Caenorhabditis elegans: one gene and its partner. The protein of the gene in region 2 purifies or fractionates together with the protein of the main gene of each other region. This does not show direct contact. Each region holds a gene or a part of one and is shown on either strand. Other genes may lie near its edges.

Region 1 (6,578 bases), on a different chromosome or scaffold from region 2:
TTTATTGAAGAGAATTTCAAAAAGTCAAATTCATCATTTATATATTATATACTAATGTAAGGTGAGAAATTGTCTAAGGAACCATAGGAATGTTTCCTTCCTCATCGCAATTTCTCATTTCATGAGTTTACTACTTTCCTGCAAAAAGATAACATGTATCTTAGGAACTAATTTTTATTTCAATTTATTTATTCGAATCGCAGAAATTTCCGGCAATTTTGGCTATTGCCGATATTACAGAAACTAAATTTGCAAAAGTTATCAGTTATCGGTAATTCTAAGCCTAAGCTTAAACCTAAAACTAAGCCTAAGCTTAAGCCTAATCCTGAGCCTAAGCCTAAACCTAGTAAATAATTTTACCTCTAGTTTCACTATGTATCATTTCAATTCAATAACATGCAAAAAAGTAAATGGACAAACTCCACTAAATTCAGAAAACCTTTGCTTCTGGTAAATACTCTTTAGGCAGCAGGTGATTTTAATTGTCTATAGGTGTTATAACTCCACAATAAATTCTTTTAACAAGTTATTATATATTTTTATTTCCAGCTCCCACTATGAATGTTGACTTTAAAGACCCTGTATGGCTAATCAATAGTTACAATTTTGTTGGTATTTTTTCTATATCAATAAATACGGCGACTATTTTTTTTGATTATTTTCAAAAGCGAGAAGATGGAGAGTATGAAGTATCATATTCTGGCGTTTCAGGTGATCTCCTTTAAATGTGGAGTATCGAAATCTGGAAAATATTTTTAATTGACTCCAAATTTTCCGCTGATTCCGAATCTCGATGTGAAAAAAATCAAAAATTCAAAAAAATCTGATAGATTTGGATTCTAGATTTTTTAAAAATATTATAGATGAGTTTTTGGGACAGGAAAGTAAATTTAAGCCGCGCTAGAGAGGTTTTTGTGTCGAGTTCCAATTTTCACAGGTATATGTAGGCGCAAAAAAACAAAAATAAAAATTATGGAATTCCGGAAGAATTGAAGTAAATTTAAGCCGCGCTAGAGAGGTTTTTGTGTCGAGTTCCAATTTTCACAGGTATATGTAGGCGCAAAAAAACAAAAATAAAAATTATGGAATTCCGGAAGAATTGAAGTAAATTTAAGCCGCGCTAGAGAGGTTTTTGTGTCGAGTTCCAATTTTCACAGGTATATGTAGGCGCAAAAAAACAAAAATAAAAATTATGGAATTCCAGAAGAATTGAACTCATCCCACCCCTCCCACTCCCACTCCCCAGTCGAAGCAGTTACCGACTGATCCAGGGAGGATGAGGGAAGCCTAGCTCCTCGGTGTGTGTGACTTTTCCGACCTAGATTTACAAATTAAAATCAAAACGGTTCACGGAAAAAAGTAATGACTGTTGAAAAACTGCTTATTTTATTGCATTTGTTCAATTTATTAAATTTTCCAATTTCCCGGTTGCCAAAAAATCAATAAAATTCAATTTTCAGAAAACCAATAAAATTATATTTCTCATCAAAATTCAAATTTCTATGACGTCGCCAGAATTAAATTTCTAGGTCACCGGTGACGTCTTCAGGCATAGTTTAAGTTTTCTAGGCCACCAGTGGCGTCATTTATTTCCCCAGGTATAATTTGAAACTTCTAGGCCACCGGTCACATCATTAATTTGTCTTCCACGGTCAAAATATTTCTCTTCCAGAACTAAAATAAGATTTCTAGTCCACCAATGACGTCATATCTTCTCCAAAAAAGCTATCAAGGTTTCCTAGACCATTAGTGACGTAATAAGTAGGCAATGATATTTCTAGGCCACGGCCCCCCCCCCCCCCCTCTGATCAAAAAACAAAGTTATGAGTCAACTTAACTTATTAGAATGCTGACTCACCCAGTCAACACCAATCTAATCTTTCCCTGTCTCCTCCCTACCACTGCCTGCGCCTCTCCGTCTCGCGCGCTCTCTCTCCCACTCCGCTCACCGCCTGCGTCTCCGTTTCTCTCCCGGTCATTCCTCATTCACTCAATCTTGCAAAATTTCGGTTGTAACGAATTTCGAGTTAGATTTTTTCTAAAAATAATCAAAAATTCCGTCGAAAAATCAACTTGCGGCGATGCTCAACGTGGAGCCCTCATTTGCAGAGGAGCTGCGGAGCAGCGGGGTTTCTCTGTCGGCTACTGTGAGTTTTTTATTAGTTTTTTCCCCGAAAATATAAAATTGTCTTTCAGTACCTCGGAAGTGTTCCAGTAGTCGAGTCAATTAACGTGATGGTTTCCGAGATGAGAGTTCAAGTTGTTTCGTTAGTTTTTCTTATGGCTTAAAATCAAAAAAAAATCTTATTCAAAAATTTAGAAATCAGGCGGTAGGCAGGCATGAAGGCAGGTAACATCTGCAAGCTCAAATATATAAAAAATCTACGTAATAAAGTAACTGTTCAATTTTCAGAGAATGTATACAACACGTTGCAGCTACTGTTGGCGTGACTGCGGCTCGAGAAATCAATCCAGTTGTTAGTAGGGTGAGTTTTTTTTTGTGAATTAAAAAAACAAAAGAAAATAAAATAAAAAACTTGCCATTTTCTGGGCATGGCTAATGGTAAAAATTTACAAAACATTTTCTCATTAATTTGATATTAAGTGTTACCAAAAATGCATGACCAGCTTTGCAAAATGTTTAAAAAAAAGGACCCGTGAAATGTCGGCCGCGCTACGATATCATCAAGAATTATTTCAAATTAACAAGCTGTCCAAATTAATGACTAAAAAATTATAGCAACCGACATCTCACAGGTTATTAGAGAAAGGTTACATGGTGCATCGACTGGAAATATCTGACTCAACTTTGACTACTTATATCTCTGCTGGTTTTGGTTTTTTTTTGAAAAAGTGTCAATTGACAAAATATTTATCGTTTTTTCTACTACAACTTTGCATTTTAACACTTTTTGATAGCAGCGAAATAAACTGAGATAATTACATGGTGCATCGACATGCTCAAATTTTGATAGCTTATATATCCAGTAAAATTCAGCCAAAAGCCTGCCACTATAGAATGTACTAAAGCAACCGACATCTTACAGGTCGATCAAAAATCGCGCTAAATGATGTCAGCCGCTATTCATAGAAAAGTTATTATCACTAATTTCGACTAAAATTATTGCAGCCGACACTTCACGGGTCGATGAAAAAGCCCAGGTAAACCATCCTTATTTTCAGGTAATCGGTGAAGTGAAAAAAGAAAACTTCCCCGTAGACATCAACATTTCCTCGAAAATGATCAAAATCATAAAACAAAGTCGTCTAATTCAACGTCATCCCTTCTCATTCTTCTCATTCGGAGCCCAAGGCCAAAAGGGTACGGACACGGAGCTAATGTTCGGCTACATTGCAAAAAACAAGGATGGAACGGATCGTCGATGCCACGTGGTGTTCATCGAGGATGTGCACAAGCTCATCGACGTCCTTACCACTGCGATCAATGTGAACACTTTTGATGCACAGGCGAATGCTTCAACTTCTAACGATGGATTTACGGTGCCGGCGCCGCCGATGAGACATCGAAGTTCCCTGCATCGACAGTCATTTGTGTCGAATTGCCGAGCACCTACTGTAACTGAGGATGTTGTGGGGAAAGTTTGGTATCATGGAAATTTATCCAGAGAGGATGCACAGGCTTTGTTGAAGACGGAAGGCGATTTTTTGGTTCGGTAAGGTTTTTTAGATTTTTTATAGAAAAAAGCTAGAATTTTGCTGAATTTCTAAAACGTTTGGCTTCATGCTCACTAGGTTCACACCAGGGGCGCGTGGGAATCGGAAATTTTCGGCAATTGCCAAAATTCCAACTGAATGCCGACATTTTCGGCAATTTTCAAACCTAATTATAATTCGAAAATTGAAAAAAAAGTTAACTGTGTTTTCAGTATTCGATTAGTCATTTTTAAAAGCAAACGGTCAATACTTAAAAAATTAAAAAATGTTTAGGCTCCTAAATCTACAAAAAAATATCAAATCTATATTTTCGGCAATTCGGGCAAAATTTGATTTTCGAAGAAAAAGGCTAATGTTTTAATAATTGGCAATTTTTTGGTAAAACCTGAGATAAGTAAAATATGAGCTATGATAGCTGATCAATGCATCATGTCTTCCATGTAACTTTTTCCAATCATATCTCGGTTTATATCGCTGCTAGCAAAAAGTGTTCATCTGCAAAGTTGTAGAAGAAAAAAGGATAAATATTTTGTCAATTAACAATTTTTCAATAAAACCACAACCAGCCGAGATATAACCTGCCAAAGTTTTGTGAGATATTTCTTGTCGATGCACCATGTTTCTCATGTAACTTTTTCCAATCATATCTCAGTTTATATCGCTGCTAGCAAAAAGTGTTGAACTGCAAAGTTGTAGTAGAAAAAAGGATAAACATTTTGTTAATTAACAATTTTTTAATAAAACCACAACCAGCCGAGATATAACCTGCCAAAGTTTTGTGAGATATTTCTTGTCGATGCACCATGTTTCTCATGTAACTTTTTCCGCTAATATCTCGGTTAATATCGCTGCTAGCAAAAAGTGTTCAACTGCAAACTTTTAGTAGAAAAAGTGATAAATATTTCGTCAATTGAAATTTTTTAAATAAAACCAAAACCAGCCGAGATATAAACTGCCAAAGTTGCGTGAGCCGGTCAATGCACCTTTCTTTAACAACCTGCGAGATGTCGGTCGCTATAATTTTTTACTAATAGTAAATCGGATAGCTTTTTAATATAAGCCTATTTTAACAGACTTCGTAGAAAAATCTGAAAGTCTAAAAAAATCAAATTTGACTGAAAAAATAGTATGAAAAATCCTTTTTTTATATATTTCTGACTTAAAGCTTCAGTCACATTTCATATCTGTAATTTGTTTGATAATATGTTCAGAAGCCACGGGACTTTAAATAATTCTTGAAAGACCAGGGAAAAATTTGGTATAATAAGTTCATCCTCCCAAAATTTTTTTAGATTTTTGTTTTAGGCTGAAATTTTTGTTCAAAAAAAATTCTGCGTTTTTTTTCCTGAAATACAAAAGATGCAAGGTTTGCATGATGCTAAGATTGTCTGAAGCAGCGGACACCTCACAGTCCCCCTTCTCTAAAAAAAGACCCGCAAGCTGTCGGCCGCTCAAACTTGTCCAGTTCCTTGCAGACAAAGCGACCACACGCCCGGCAAGTACGTGCTGAGTGGCCGAACCGCTGAAAACGAGCACAAACATCTCATCCTACTGGACAATCACAACGTAAGACCCTCCCCCCCCCCCCCCGCCAAACCTTCAAACCTCTCAAAATTCCAGAGAGTCCGAACCCGCGATCGCACGTTCAGCAACATCTCCGAGCTCATCGACTATCATGTGAACAATGGGATGGCCGTAAGATCAGAGGGTCGGGATCGCGAGACGTCGTTGAATCTGATCCGACCTGTGCCGTGCCCCGGAAGTGATGATATCGAATAGAGTCGGAATTTGTTTCCTATTTTTTTTTCGATTTCTAGCAGAAATTGAAAGTCGAGTAGCAAATTGCGTAAGACTTTTTCCTCTTCTCGTCGCCCCCCCCCCCTCTTTCATATAATTAGGTAGTTGTCCTTCTACCGTAACATGTCATTACTATCCTCTTTCTTTCCTTCTTTTTTTTGCGATTCTCCTCCTCGGCCACGCTCCAATTATACCCCCCACCCACCTGTATTCTTACGCCACCACCCCAACCAGCGCACACATCTTTTTGTATTCATTTTTCCATATATATTTGTATTATTACTACTATTACCCTCACTACTGTTATCGATTTTTCCCTCCACAAATTTATGATTCTGCACTGGATCATTTGGTCGGTGGTTGTGGTGCTGCCACCGCTGATTCGATCGGTGGCCATTGTGGACACTTCTATTGCGTGTGATAAGGTAGGGATGGCCTAGAAAAGTCACCTAGTCCAACACTCCCACCCCGTATCTATGTTTCTGCCATCTTGTGATATTTGCTCCATACCATATACCCTGCCCATTTCTGTCCTACTTTCATATCCTGAAAAAATGAAGTATTTGAGAATCGAGTTTTGAAAATATTAGTGGTGGCCTAGAAATTTTAGGCTTGGGTTTAGGCTTAGGCTTAGGCTTAGGCTTAGGTTCAAGCTTAGGCGTAGGCTTAGGATTGGGCTTAATCATGGGTTTAGGCTTAGGCTTAGGCTTTGGCTTAAGCCGAGACTTAGGTTTGGCGTCAGTGGCGAGCGTTAGCTTGCTACTGACGCTATTTAGGCTTAGGATTTTCCGGTTTTTTTTAGGCTTAGGCTTAGGCTTGAGCTTAGGCTTAGGCTTAGGCTTTGGTTTGGGCTTAGGCGTAGGCTTAGGCTGAACCTTAGGCTTAAGCTTAGACATTGGATTAGGCTCAGGCTTAGGCTTTTTGGAAGATGTGTGGAGCCAATAAAAAGTTGCATGGAAAAAATATGACGTCACAAATGACCTAAAATGTTTCATTGTTTTTGGCAAAAACACAATAGTTTAGAAATTTGGCTGCAAGAAGTTCCTCGGCCTAGAAACTCTCTTAAACTCTCGAAAAAGCGAATTTGAAGGGCATTTAATGGAAGA
Region 2 (3,966 bases):
GATAAAAGACATCATGATTTTTTCTGATAAGGATGAAAGCGCAATTATCGATTCCTCTCCGCTCCTACGCTCTCTGTGTTCAGCGCAATTGCTCTGACCAGTTTTTTTTTGTTCTATTCTCTATATCTAGAAACATTAAGCATTAATTCAACATATCATGAACCATCAAGATTTGACATAATTTTGATAATTTTCCATCAACTCAGTCGCCGACAAACAAGTTAGAGGCTCCCAACTCTGCACCTTGTGAGATGAGTCATGCAACAACTGGTCCATATCTGATTTAGTGTAACGACCACAATGCCACGATGACTAGGCTTGATTCTGCATTTGTTATTTATGGAATTCAAGACATTTTGAGATTTTTGCATTTGGTGTTCTAGCATTTATCTGACTAATTAAAATCAGAAAATGTTTTCACCTCGTTGTTTTTCAGAATTTGACTTTCCACATTTTCCAGCACCGCTTTTAAATATAAAAAAAAATAGTTTTTATTTATTTGATTGGGTCTCCTCATTTATTAGAAAAAATGTCGAAATTCTTGTTTGCGTCTTCTCAAATACATACAATAGTATTCTCAATGTTATCTCCTAATTTCGAAATCGATGGTTTCTCAATTACGAAATATTAGGAATTTTCCCACTTTCCGCGACACTATTATTTGCCTTTTTTAACCGCAATTCGATTACATTATTAGTGGTAAACAATCTTTTCTCTGAATTTCCAACGTTTTTTTTGTTTTACAAAAGAAACTATATAATAGTTGCTGTCCTCACATGATGATCAATGTTTTTTATCATTATCAATCAGAAAAGTCCCAGCTTTTCTTGACTTTTCCTTCAGAAATTATCATATCACAATTTGTTTGTTTTCTTTTTCTCTCTAACACTCTTACTCTATTCACTCAACAGTTCAATGCCGGAAATTCAAAATAACCAAATCGTTTTGACATAAACTTCAGTTCAAAGTTGACCTATCGCAAAAACAGGTCGAAAACAAAAAAAAATGGGGAACGGACCGCCAATGTTTTGAAACGGAAGGGGGGTGCGCACGCGGTCGCGTCGCGTGCCCGGTGTTTCAACGTAACTCTTGCACTTATTTACGCAGTGTGTCTCACTTGTGTGTGTGTGTGCCGTTCGTTTTTTCTCTCCCTTCCCTCCTCCCTCGCCGCATTGGAATTGCGACGGCGTCAATGCGGTCTTGCCGCTTTTCGAGACATTTTTGCTGCTGTGATGCCATGTTTTCACCATGATGTAATGCAATTTAATCCTCATGGCAAGAATGAAAAGTAGTTCAAAACGTTGCCTTTCTCGTTTTGGCAGCAGCTCTTTCTCATTTGATCCCCTCGTCGTATAAGCTAATACGCTTTTTGTTTTCAGCTGCTATATTCAGCCAACACAAAAGGCAAGAGCCTTTCCATTGACGTAAACGAGGCTTGTTTGCAACAACATCATGCATTCTAATTTCGTACATGAACTTTTCGAAAGTGCATTGAGATGAGAGTAATGATGAGAGCAAAGACATTTTCTTATAACTTCCCCTATTATTTATATGTATAGCCACTCTCATTCTTAGAAATGCTAGTGCACTTCTTTTCGTGCCCCAACAATTTATATTTTCATCCTAGAAATATAAATTCAAAATTTTGATTCTTCCTGATATTTCTTTATCTCTTTTTTTCTCTGTACTAAAAATAATAATTTTAAGGTGAAAAGATGGAGAGAGACTTCGACCTTGGCATGGGCAGACCTGGCGGGCTCGGAGGACTTGGTGGTGAACCGATCATGCAACAAATGCCACAGCCAGCGCCTCATCATCCATCCCGTAGTAGTAACGACCACAATGTGAAGAACCTCATGAAGCAGGCCGAGGAGAACTCCGGATATCTCACATTGCAAGGTAATTTGGCTAAATAAATAATCTTGAAACGGTAACAATTGATTTTTAGGTAACCGTCGTAAAGCTGACTTGAAGGAGCTTCAGTTCGTGGAAGATATTGGTCATGGAAGCTGCGGTACGGTCACAAAGTGCAGATACAAGAGTGTGATCATGGCTGTGAAGACGATGCCTCGGACGTCAAACAGTTATGAAATGTCCCGCATTTTGATGGATCTTGACGTCATCTGTCTCTCTTTCGACTGTCCGTACATTGTACGTTGCTTCGGATACTTCATCACCAACGTAAGAATTTTTATGAATTCTTTGACTTTTCCAATTATCATTTTTTTCAGTTCGACGTCCGTGTCTGCATGGAGTGCATGGCTACTTGCCTTGACCGTCTGCTTATCCGCATCAAGCAGCCAATTCCAGAGAGAATTATTGGAAAGTTGAGTGTGAGCATCATTAAAGCTCTGCACTACTTGAAAACCAAGCACGTAAGTTTATAAATCAGATGAACCATTTGGACAATATATAATCCGATTTTTTTAGCAAATCATGCACCGTGATGTGAAGCCATCAAACATTCTCCTCGACTGGAGTGGCGTCATCAAGCTTTGCGATTTCGGTATTGCTGGCAGACTGATCGAGTCTCGTGCTCATTCGAAGCAAGCCGGATGCCCTCTGTACATGGGTCCTGAGCGCCTCGACCCCAACAACTTTGACTCGTATGACATTCGCAGTGACGTGTGGTCTTTTGGTGTTACTTTGGTCGAGCTGGCAACCGGACAGTACCCATACGCCGGAACCGAATTCGACATGATGTCCAAGATTCTCAATGACGAGCCACCGCGCCTGGATCCGGTATGTGCTCTTCGTAAAAAATTCATCTAGAAAAAGCTTTTAAGAGCTACCAGTAGACATAATATATGCTTTATGGCGGCTAGAAACAGTACACAACTAGTATTTATGTATTTTACAATTTTACAGGCCAAATTCTCTCCGGACTTCTGTCAACTCGTCGAGAGCTGCCTGCAGCGTGATCCAACGATGCGTCCCAATTACGATATGCTCCTCCAGCATCCGTTTGTCGTGCATCACGAGAAAATTGAAACCGACGTCGAGGAGTGGTTTGCCGATGTGATGGGCGAGTGCGGATAATTGTCGAATTACAAACGTATTGTTATTTCCCAAATCATTTGTAAAAACTATCAATCCCATTCACTATCTCTTTCATAACATTTCCTGGTCTAGCATTCATGGTGCAAAGTTTTTCAATTTTGCTTTTTTACCTTATTTACCCTATTTACCACTTTTACCCTATTTTCACTTGTTCTCGTTCCCGTTGTCTCTATCAAAAATTCCCAACCTCTCTCACCGAATCCCTGTCTACCAAACTTGAATGTTCCGGATGTATAGTATCATTGTAGGCCTAATTGATTGTATATTTTGATTATGATATGTCTCAAAGTTAAGCCATCCACAGCTAGTCTTCTCGTCAGAGATTACTGTGGACATTAAAATTGTGATTCAAATTGTTCAACGGATATTGTTGTAATCTTATATATTTAAATACAGTCTATGGACCGTTCGTTTTTTTACAAGTTTTGAACGAAGCGTTACAGAAAGAAGTAATCAAATTCCAGATCTGTAGAAACTAGCGAGTTAACAGGTAATCGGAACTATGGTGTCTTGAACAATATTTGAAAGTATTCGAAATAGTGTACATATTTTGTGAAACTAAATACTATCAAACGATATCCTACTCAACTCTGAAATGTTCATACAGTGTATTAACACCTGCGCGACAACGCTTCACCTCTCTCATTTAAATGAATCCAAATGATTAGTCGCTGGAGATTATTAGGATATGCTACTAACGGAGCTTTTAAATAATGGCGGGTTCTCCCTACCCGCGTCACCATAGAAACCGAGCGGACTCGTGCCGGCTGGTGTTCTCCCTTCGTCCGCCTTCCGCGACTCAACTCATTTCCGTGTCTCCTCTAATATTTTCCAACGACCACATCTATATCTATTGCTTATCTCCAATAAATGTCGTTGGCAATTAAAGGTAGGTATTTTTATAGG

What was found. Proteins that work in one complex are often made in the same cells at the same time.
Region 1: the proteins of mek-1 (region 2) and shc-1 purify together in Caenorhabditis elegans (affinity purification with western blotting; 2 studies listed by BioGRID). This does not show direct contact.

The regions. Positions count from the first base shown.
Region 1 is NC_003279.8:968,556-975,133, reverse strand, and holds shc-1 (SHC-transforming protein homolog 1), read left to right. Parts: upstream 1-2,000; 5' UTR 2,001-2,081; coding exon 2,082-2,147; intron 2,148-2,196; coding exon 2,197-2,267; exon of another isoform or gene 2,268-2,413; coding exon 2,414-2,486; intron 2,487-3,047; exon of another isoform or gene 3,048-3,183; coding exon 3,184-3,674; intron 3,675-5,150; coding exon 5,151-5,241; intron 5,242-5,295; coding exon 5,296-5,454; 3' UTR 5,455-5,801; coding exon of another isoform or gene 5,802-5,897; 3' UTR 5,898-6,046; downstream 6,047-6,578. Other genes in the region: cutl-20 (ZP domain-containing protein), read left to right, coding at 5,802-5,897. UniProt on the Caenorhabditis elegans protein: Scaffold protein which plays an important role in the activation of the JNK pathway composed of mlk-1, mek-1 and kgb-1; by bringing together mek-1 and mlk-1, promotes mlk-1-mediated phosphorylation and activation of mek-1 which in turn phosphorylates kgb-1.
Region 2 is NC_003284.9:7,477,541-7,481,506, forward strand, and holds mek-1 (Dual specificity mitogen-activated protein kinase kinase mek-1), read left to right. Parts: upstream 1-1,707; 5' UTR 1,708-1,715; coding exon 1,716-1,899; intron 1,900-1,948; coding exon 1,949-2,181; intron 2,182-2,231; coding exon 2,232-2,375; intron 2,376-2,430; coding exon 2,431-2,742; exon of another isoform or gene 2,743-2,868; coding exon 2,869-3,039; 3' UTR 3,040-3,465; downstream 3,466-3,966. Other genes in the region: F48E3.9 (Trichohyalin), read left to right, coding at 3,931-3,949. UniProt on the Caenorhabditis elegans protein: Dual specificity protein kinase which may phosphorylate kgb-1 and thereby is an essential component of the JNK pathway composed of mlk-1, mek-1 and kgb-1. May also have a synergistic role with sek-1 in phosphorylating pmk-1.